Linked DNA regions of Macaca fascicularis. The protein of the gene in region 1 interacts with the protein of each later gene in a pairwise test. Links are inferred from orthologs where the notes say so. Each region holds a gene or a part of one and is shown in the gene's direction. Other genes may lie near its edges. The genes, in order: PRR3 and ASF1A.

Region 1 (4,285 bases):
GCCAAAATGGCGAAACCCCATCTCTACTAAAAATAGAAAAACTAGCTGGGCATGGTGGTGCATACCTGTAATCCCAACTACTCAGGTAGCTCAGGCATGAGAATTGCTTGAACCTGGGAGGCAGAGGTTGCAGTGAGTCGAGATTGCACCACTGCACTCCAGCCTGAATGACAGAGTGAGATTGTCAAAACAAAAAATAAAAATAAAGTCAAATTCAAAGAAACAGTAGAATGGTCGTTACTAGATGCTGGGGGAAGGAAGACAGAAAGGGGGAGTTTTGTTTAATGGGTACAGAGTTTCAGTTTTGCAAGATAAGAAACTTTTGGAGATCGGGCATGGTGGCTTACGCCTGTAATCCCAGCACTTTGGGAGGCCAAGGCAGGTGGATCATGAGATCAGGAATTCGAGACCAGCCTGGCCAACATGATGAAACCCTATCTCTACTAAAAATACAAAAATTAGCCAGGTGTGGTGGTGGGCACCTGTAATCCCAGCTACTCAGGAGGCTGAGGCAGGAGAATCGCTTGAACCCAGAAGCCGGAGGTGGCAGTGAGCCGAGATCGCGCCACTGCACTCCAGCCCAGGCAACAGAGCGAAACTCCATCTCAAAAAACAAACGAACAAAAACTTGGAGATCTGTTTCACAACAATATGAATATACATAACACTACTGAACTGTACACTTAAAAATAGTTAAAATGGTAAATTTTATGTGTTTTTTGCCACAATAAAAAGCAAACAAAACGAGGCATGATGACTCATGCCTGTAATCCCAGCACTTTAGGAGACCAAGGTGGGAGGATCACTTGAGCCCAAGAGTTCAAGACCAGCCTGGGCATGTGGCAAGACCCAATCTCTCATTAAATAAATAATAACCAAACAAAATAACCACCACTTTTCACACTCACCAGAATGGCAAAATTTAAAAATCTAACAATTCTAAGTGTTGCCAAGGCTATAGGACAACTACTGGTGGGAGTGCAAATTGCTATAACCACTTTGAAAAAAAATTTGGCATTATATGTGAAACTTGAGCATAACATATACTTTATAACCCAGCAATACCTCTACTATGTATATACTCAACAGAAATGCATACGTATGTGTAACAACATGTATAAAAATGTTTATAGTGGCATTTCTCGTTATAGCCCCAAACTGGATACCACCCACATGTCCATCATCAGTAGAATGGATAAATAAGTTGTTGTGTATGCATGCAATGGGACTACACTGCAACGAAAATGAATGAACTACTGCTACAGGCAACCTGGATGAATCTCACAAACATGATGTTGAGCGAAAGGAGCCAGACATAAAAGAATGCAGACTGTATGATTCCATTTTTGTGAAGTTCAAAAACAGGCAAAAACTAACCTATGGTGTCAGGATAGTGGTTACCTTTGGGGAGGAGGGTGGGTAATGGGAAAAGGGGCACAAGGGGAGGATCTTTTGAGGTGCTAATAAGGCTTTATCTCTTCACCTGGTGGTGGAAACTCAAGTGTGTCTACTTTGTGATAATTGGGTTGTGCACTTAAAACTGGTGTGTCTTTAAAACCGCTGTTCTTCAATAAAAAAAATTTTTTAAATCAGGGCTTATCAGGATTCAGCTGCCCATTGGTCACCTTTCTGTGTCTTTCTTTCTCTCTCTGTCTCTCTCTCTCTCTCCAGCTCTTCACAGAGGTCCTCCAGGATCAAGGGGACCACTGATTCCACCACTGCTGAGTCTCCCACCTCCTCCTTGGGGTAGAGGCCCAATTCGGAGAGGCCTTGGCCCCAGGTCTAGCCCATATGGTCGTGGTTGGTGGGGAGTCAATGTTGAACCTCCTTTTCCGGGGCCAGGTCATGGGGGTCCCACCAGGGGAAGCTTTCACAAAGAACAGAGAAACCCTCGAAGGCTCAAAAGCTGGTCTCTTATCAAGAATACCTGCCCGCCCAAGGATGACCCCCAGGTTATGGAAGGTGAGGTCCATTTTGTTACGCCCATAACTCCCAGAGTGACCTAATTTTCAGAAGATCATTCATGATCTTCTTTGGGCTTTCCTTTTTGCTTTTGAAGCAGAAGTAGACCTGAATGTTATTTCTCCCAGGAGAAAAACTACCATTCCAAAATACCTGGAAATGGTAGGGGGTAGAAAATCAGTTCTCCTTCTGTCTCTGCTTTTCATCATATTTGTTTTCTTTGTTGCTCAAATTTTTAACTTTAATTTTCACTTGTTCACAGACAAATCCGACCGCCCTGTCTGCCGACATTTTGCCAAAAAGGGTCACTGTCGATATGAGGACCTCTGTGCCTTCTACCATCCAGGCGTCAATGGACCTCCTCTGTGAGACTGTGCCTTCCCATCCAGGCTGGAAGGAGCTCTCTGTGACCTAGCGGCCATGTATTTCTCTGTAGCCCTGTAATGGCTACTGTGAGGCTCTTCCAACACCCTCTGTCAGTGACACACCCACCCCATCCACCACCTCCCCAGTTTGGGGTCCAGAGTTGTGTTGCGTCACTGGTGCGCGGTGTATGCGCTTTCTTCTGATCCAGCCTTTAGAGACTTGCCTTTGGGACCCATCTTTGCTCCCTTAAGTTGCCTCCTGGATCTTCTTTCCCATCATCAAATGACTGCTGAACAGGAAACCTCTTTGGTGCTGTTTCTTGTGCATCTGTCCACCTGTTCCCCAGTACTGCCCTCAATTCCTGAGAGCCCTGGAGCGGTTTCCTACCATTCCCTTCTTTTAGCTGCTTGTTTTAAGTCCTTTTTATGTGACATTCCCTACCCCCAATGTTGTCAGCTGCTTATGAAACTCAGCCAGGTTGTCTAACCTGGGGTCAAGTTTGGGTGACTGGTGCAGAGTTACTTCCTAAAAGGCCACTCTCCCTGCTTTTGGATTTCGTAGTTTCTCTGTCAGTAGCATGATCCCCACCACCGTGGTCTATGATCACCGTGCTTTGTGAAACTGTGCATCCCCTTGTAGCCTCTCTCAGTGTCTGTGGCATTTTTGTGACTTCCCAGCACTAGAATAAGTTTTCCTGCCAAAACGAGTGAGGTGCTTGACGCCCTCTGGACTTTCCCACTTCCCAACATGGAAGAATTGTGAACTTTCCATCAGACTGCCTCCCTGGCCCTCCCCATTCTTCTCCTGTTGGTTACTCTGGGTCTGACACAGGCCCATGAGATGTCTTATAAAGCCTCCAATGGCTTTATCCTACCTAGATCCCTTCCAGCCCATTTTACTTAGACTATGTCATTGTGAGACCACCAGTCCTTTCATTTGAATTCTGTGAATCTCCACCTTGCCTATCTTTGGGTGGAACCTGGACAGTACTGTCGCCTTCTTCCAACCCTCTTCCCCTACATCCCTGGCACTGGTTGTTTTCTGTGAAAACAGCAGTGAACAGGTTCAGTTTTGAACTGGCCCTGAGGAAACAGGTCAGGAGTTGTATTGGCAAGAGGGAGGGATGAGAGTTGTTGGAGAACTGAGAATGAGGTGTTTTTTTTTTTTTTTTTTAACATTTTTTTATATTAGTAATAAATGCAGTGGAAACCAGCATTTTCTTTAATCCCTGTGTTCTAGTCATCTCTGGAGGTACAGATGAAGCTGTTCTCACCTGGTGGAGTCAGCTCATTCTTTAGTTCATACACACTAGTGATGGGGAATGACAAAGCTTAAGGTTCTTCCAGGCTGAAAAAACCAATGGAGGTTCCATTGGCCTGTAGGCATCAACCAGACCAAGCTGCCTTATGTTCAAGGGCAAAGTTTTGTAAGAAAAAGGAAAGGCCAGGTGTCTGTGGAGTTATTTTTAAATATTTTACTTGGCAGAGTTTGTGTTTATGGAGTGGTAATGATGAAGGAGTCTTTCAGCAGCAATTTGCAGAGTGCCTGTGGGCCAGGCAATATACTAAGCACTAGAGATAACTGACAGCCAAAGCCAATGGATTTAAAATGTACAAGGAAGACAGGTTTCTCATAACCACAAATAGCATGTAAAGTTAAACCTGCCAAAAGTGCTGGGAAGAAGACAGGGTGAAACGGAGTTGTGTAATAAAGGGAGTCGGGGAAGGAGATGCAACTGAGACAAGCTCCAAAGGATAAACAGGAGGTGGGGTGGGAAAGGGGAGTCAAGGCCAAGGTCTTAGCTAAAAGACCTAGGGGAAAAGGAGCTAAGAAACCTAGGGACAGTGGGAGATGATGCAGAAGAAAGGGAGTTAGACCACTCAGGGCCTTGGAGAACATGAGGATTTGGCTCTTTTCTTAGAACAGAAGCCTTTGAAGAATTTTAGACGGGAGTATC
Region 2 (4,607 bases), about 120 Mb from region 1:
ACAAAAATCTGTGTCTATCACCATGGTTTGACTCTTAATACTCTAATGTCACAAACAACTGGCTTGAAGAAGTCTTTCCTGGTAGGTCCTATATCTAACTGTTCAATCCATGACAAAAAAAGGGAACTCTTCCCCACTCTAACTGGTCTTCCTAAATGTAGGAGGGGCTGACATTAGCTGTCTCACATTAACTTTCAAAAGACCATCAGATGAAAACGTTTCATCAGAAGCCACCTACTTAAGTATGAACAATGCCCAAAGAATGACAAATCAAAATTCTGGGCACTATCCTAAGAGAAAACTCTTCCAGAACAGATACTTCAGAATTAATTTTCTCTCTGAATTTGGCCAAGTTTGGTGGTTTCATTCACAACATTTAAGGAAAAAAGTGACGGTTTATGGATAGCAAGTAATAAAAACAAATCTTTATACCACTTACTAGTAATAGAAACGGTTTAGGCTCACAAATGTGTTTAAAGCTTTCTCTTTCCCCGCAATGGTAGTCAAACAGCATAAACGAATCAACATTTCCTCAGTTCAGATCTCAACTGGTTACAGGCAAGCAAGGGCTCCTCAGAATTTGCTTTACTAATGGTTTAGGTCAGAAATTTTTTTGAAGATCAAATGTCTTGGTATGTCTTCGTGTTCTTTTTCCCATCTCTATTATGTGTGTTGCCCTGTTGGTCTCCTGACACTTCCATTTTCTCCTTTTATGTTCCTGCTATGCTCTCCCAATGGCAGTAACCTAGGGTATAACTGATCACACCTCTTGTGATTTTTTTCTTATTCTAGGACTTTCCAGATCTGGACTCCGAAGAAGACGCCCAGGTGTAAGCCCAAAGGTTACCTATTTAAATTTTCCAAGCACAGTGTGTGGAAAATCATTCCTCGCCCTTCATTTTGTGTTGCTTAACGGCGCTGTCGTGCCTAAACGTAGATACTGGCCAAGAGCTAGATTTCCAAAATGGCTTTGCTCCTTTCGAGCTGACATCGGTCTATAACATGCAATTTATTTCCCCTGCAGGCAATCTTTTTCTCTACTCCAACTACTACCCGATACACAGAAAGCTGAACCTAACCCAGTGTAAACACCGATTCTCATCTGCTAAATTCAGCAAGGCCGGCAAAGCTGTTGCAATGATGTAAAAAGAGCGTTAAAAAATTAAAAAAAAAAAAAAAACCACAAAAAAACACAAAAAAACAAAAAACGCCAAAACACCCACACGAAGCCAACCGGAGGGGCGGGCGTCGGCCGAATCGCGCCCTCCCGCCGCGGCCACGCCTCCCCGCCGCGGCCACGCCCCCGCCGCCCCTCTCCGCGCCGCCGCCGGCGGCCTCCGCGCGGGCCTCCCAGCCCTTATTCCACTCACTTTGTTCTCCGCCTTTGTCCTAATCCACACCAGCAGGTGGAGCCGCAGTTAAAGTTTCCGAGTCCATTCCGGGAGCGGGAGCCCATCTTGCTGGCTGCGGAGGCCCTCGCTGGAGGAGGAGGGTCAGAGCTCGGGTGCAGCCAATCGAGGGCAACGCTGCTACTTATCAGAGCAGAATGGGCTGTAGTTTAGTGAAATAGGAAAGCTGCAAAACACTGTGGAGTGCTCCCGTGTAAATAAAAAGAGGAAAAAAAAAGTTTCTCAAGTCGCCGCTGCACAACGTCGGGCCGGCGCTGGGGCGGGGGTCTGCGCTCTCCCGAGCGGCCGCGCGCTGGACTTTATTGTGCCGCAACCAGCCCCAGTTCCCATTGTTTGTGTTTTTTTCAAAATATGGCAAAGGTTCAGGTGAACAATGTAGTGGTGCTGGATAACCCTTCTCCTTTCTACAACCCGTTCCAGTTCGAGATCACCTTCGAGTGCATCGAGGACCTGTCTGAAGGTGAGTGCGGCGCCCGTGCGCCCGGGCTGTCAGTTGCGGGCTGCAGACGTTGAAAGTTTCCCGGGCCCGGCCTCGCGCTGGGCGGCTGTGTTCGGCGCCTGGCGGCCGCGGGCTGCTCTGCGGAGGGAAACTTCAAGTTGATGGTCGACGGCCGCCGAGGCGCGCGCGGCTTTCCGCCGCAGCCCAGGCGCCTGCCGGGCTCAACTTGCGAGGAACTTGTTTGAGCGGAGGAGCGGAGGTAGCCATGTTGTCAGCTTTGTCTGCGGGCGGGCAGCTCGGAGACCCGCACTCGCGCCCGCGGCGCCTCCTGGGGTCGCGCCGGGCTGGCTTAGCGCCGCCAACAGCTTCCGCGACCCTCCGGGCCCGGGCACGGAGGCTGGGAAGGGAGAGGCTGTGCGTGTGGTCGCGCCGGCGAGTTCGGAGCGGAGCCATCTTACCCCAGTCGAGAATTGGGCCAGCGACCCCGGCGCACGGCGCCTCTTCTCGCCCCTTCGCCCGCCTGCCCGCGGCGAAAGGGAGGCAGTAACTCTCGAGAGCTCACGGTGGAGTCGCCGCACTCTCCGGGCTGGCCATGCCTGGCCGCTTCGGGGAGGAGAGCGAGGCTGTCCTCGCGCTGATTTCTGGCTTCCTCGACCAACCAGCGGGGGAGGCGGGCGCAGGCTCGGCCCCTCCGCGCCGCGGGCTGGGCGCCGGCACTCCCCGGGGGCCGCGGGTCCTGTTCGGCCGGTCCTCTTCGGCCGGTGCCCGGGATGCGCCGGGATGCTGGCGCGCAGGCTCCCCAACCAACGTGGACTCCTTTCTCCTAATGACGAAAAGCTAATCTCAGGAAGAGAGAGAGAGCTGAGCTAGGAAGTTACATTTAACCTAAGAGCAGAAATAAGATACTTAAATAATTTCCAGGACTTAATCTCTGCCTTCTAAATAGTCTGAAAGAAGACTTTCTTCAAGAGCGTGTTGAAATGTAAAATAACTCCACATCCAGATGCAGAACACACCCTAAACATAAAACACAAACGTAGGCTAGGAAATTAAGCTAAACTCCTCATGTCAGTCCAAGAATTCCTGGTATTTTTTCTACATATATTTTAAGGTCTTAAAAATACGTATTCTTAATATGTTTAGTAATATTTAGAAAGCTAAAACAACAATTATCTTTGCTTTAATTATATTTTACTAAAGTAATTCAGTGCTTCATTTGCCAGTTTTGAAGGGGAAATAGTTTAACTTCATCGATGAGGGGCATACTTCTTTGAACTAGAAGTGTATTTTTAAAATGCTCTGAAGATGATTTGGCTAATCGTGGCATGTAAAACTTTTCATTTTAAAAACTAGTTTTTAATCTCTAAAATGTATGTATCATATGTAAGGTTAATTTTAATTATAAAACAATATATATCATTGTAATAAACTTTTAGAAAGTTGTACAGGCATATATAAAGTTAACAGTTCTCTGTACTCAATGCCTTCCCCTATCTCCTTTAGGTAATCACAATTACTACTTTAACATGTGCCCCTCTGTGGGGGTTTTTTTTTTTTTGGTAAACCTATATAGAGCATAAATGCACATACATATATAGGGCAAATTTTGAAAGATGATTCATTTATTAAAATAATTTCAAATAGGCCATTGATAACACTTAGGGGTATTTTTCTTATTACTCTGAAGTCATCTGTATGATACTACTATTAATATAAGCATTGCAGCTACCAGGCCCATTTTTCACACCCAACAGTCAGTAATTTTTTTTTTTTAATTGCCAACTGCATATAAAAATAGACAAAAGAAAAACCATTGATCGGTCCATTCCAACTTACACCACAGTGTTTTTCAAGTATACCACCAGAAGTTCTTCAAATTACAGGTATTTCTCAAGTGATGCCTTCCATTTTAGGAGTCAGCTCTGAACAAAGAAGATAGATGACTCAGGATGTCGTTACAGGGCTTTTACATTGCATAGATGAAACCAGCCATTCATAAAGCCAAAACAGGTTCCATTTTTAACTGGGATCCATTCAGAACCCAGCTGAATCACATCAGGGTTTTACAGTACTGGTATCAAAAATATACTTATTTCCAGTGGTATATTTCACTTCCTAGGCACCATTACTGAGCATTTATTTAGTATTTTAAAAAATATTTTAAGCTGAGTCATACTGAAGCTGCAAAGGAATCTTTCAAAAAGGTGCCATGCCTGTATACTCCACCTAGAGGCTATGTGGATTAAGGAAATTGAGTTTACTTAGCAAAGGCTTCTTATAGGTTCCATACTTCTATATTATAGTTCTTTTAAAAATTCTGTTCTTAAACTATAGAATTTTTTTTTTTTTTAAATGAGACAGTCTGGCTCTGGCACTCAGGCTGGATGGAGTGCAGTGGTGCAAACACAGCTACCTGCAGCCTCAACCTCCTGGGCTCAAGCAATCCTCCCACCTCAGCCTCCTGAGTAGCTGGGACCATAGTCAATGTGCCACCACACTGGGCTAATATTTTAATTTTTTGTAGAGATGGAGTTTTGCCATGTTGCCCAAGCTGGTCTCAAACCCCTGGGCTCAAGCAGTCCTCCCACCCCTGACTCCCAAAGTGTTGTGATTATAGTGAGCCCACTGCACCCAGCCCAAACTATAGAATATTTTGAAAAGAATTTTCTTTGTAAGTTATTTTGCCTCAAGTCTCAAAGCAGAGTTTGGCCACCATTTTTCATACTTTCGTCAATAGCCCCCAAACATTTACTTTTCTT

Evidence for each region.
Region 2: the proteins of PRR3 (region 1) and ASF1A interact in binary tests that used the Homo sapiens proteins (3 or more experiments, as listed by UniProt). The two-hybrid records come from large-scale screens. The link is inferred for Macaca fascicularis from reciprocal best matches to the Homo sapiens genes PRR3 and ASF1A.

What each region holds. Positions count from the first base shown.
Region 1 is NC_088378.1:142,092,604-142,096,888, reverse strand, and holds the end of PRR3 (proline-rich protein 3), read left to right. Parts: intron 1-1,151; coding exon of another isoform or gene 1,152-1,190; exon of another isoform or gene 1,191-1,592; intron 1,593-1,671; coding exon 1,672-1,962; intron 1,963-2,224; coding exon 2,225-2,331; 3' UTR 2,332-3,550; downstream 3,551-4,285.
Region 2 is NC_088378.1:22,822,689-22,827,295, forward strand, and holds the start of ASF1A (histone chaperone ASF1A), read left to right. Parts: upstream 1-1,563; 5' UTR 1,564-1,760; coding exon 1,761-1,869; exon of another isoform or gene 1,870-2,511; intron 2,512-4,607. UniProt on the Homo sapiens protein: Histone chaperone that facilitates histone deposition and histone exchange and removal during nucleosome assembly and disassembly.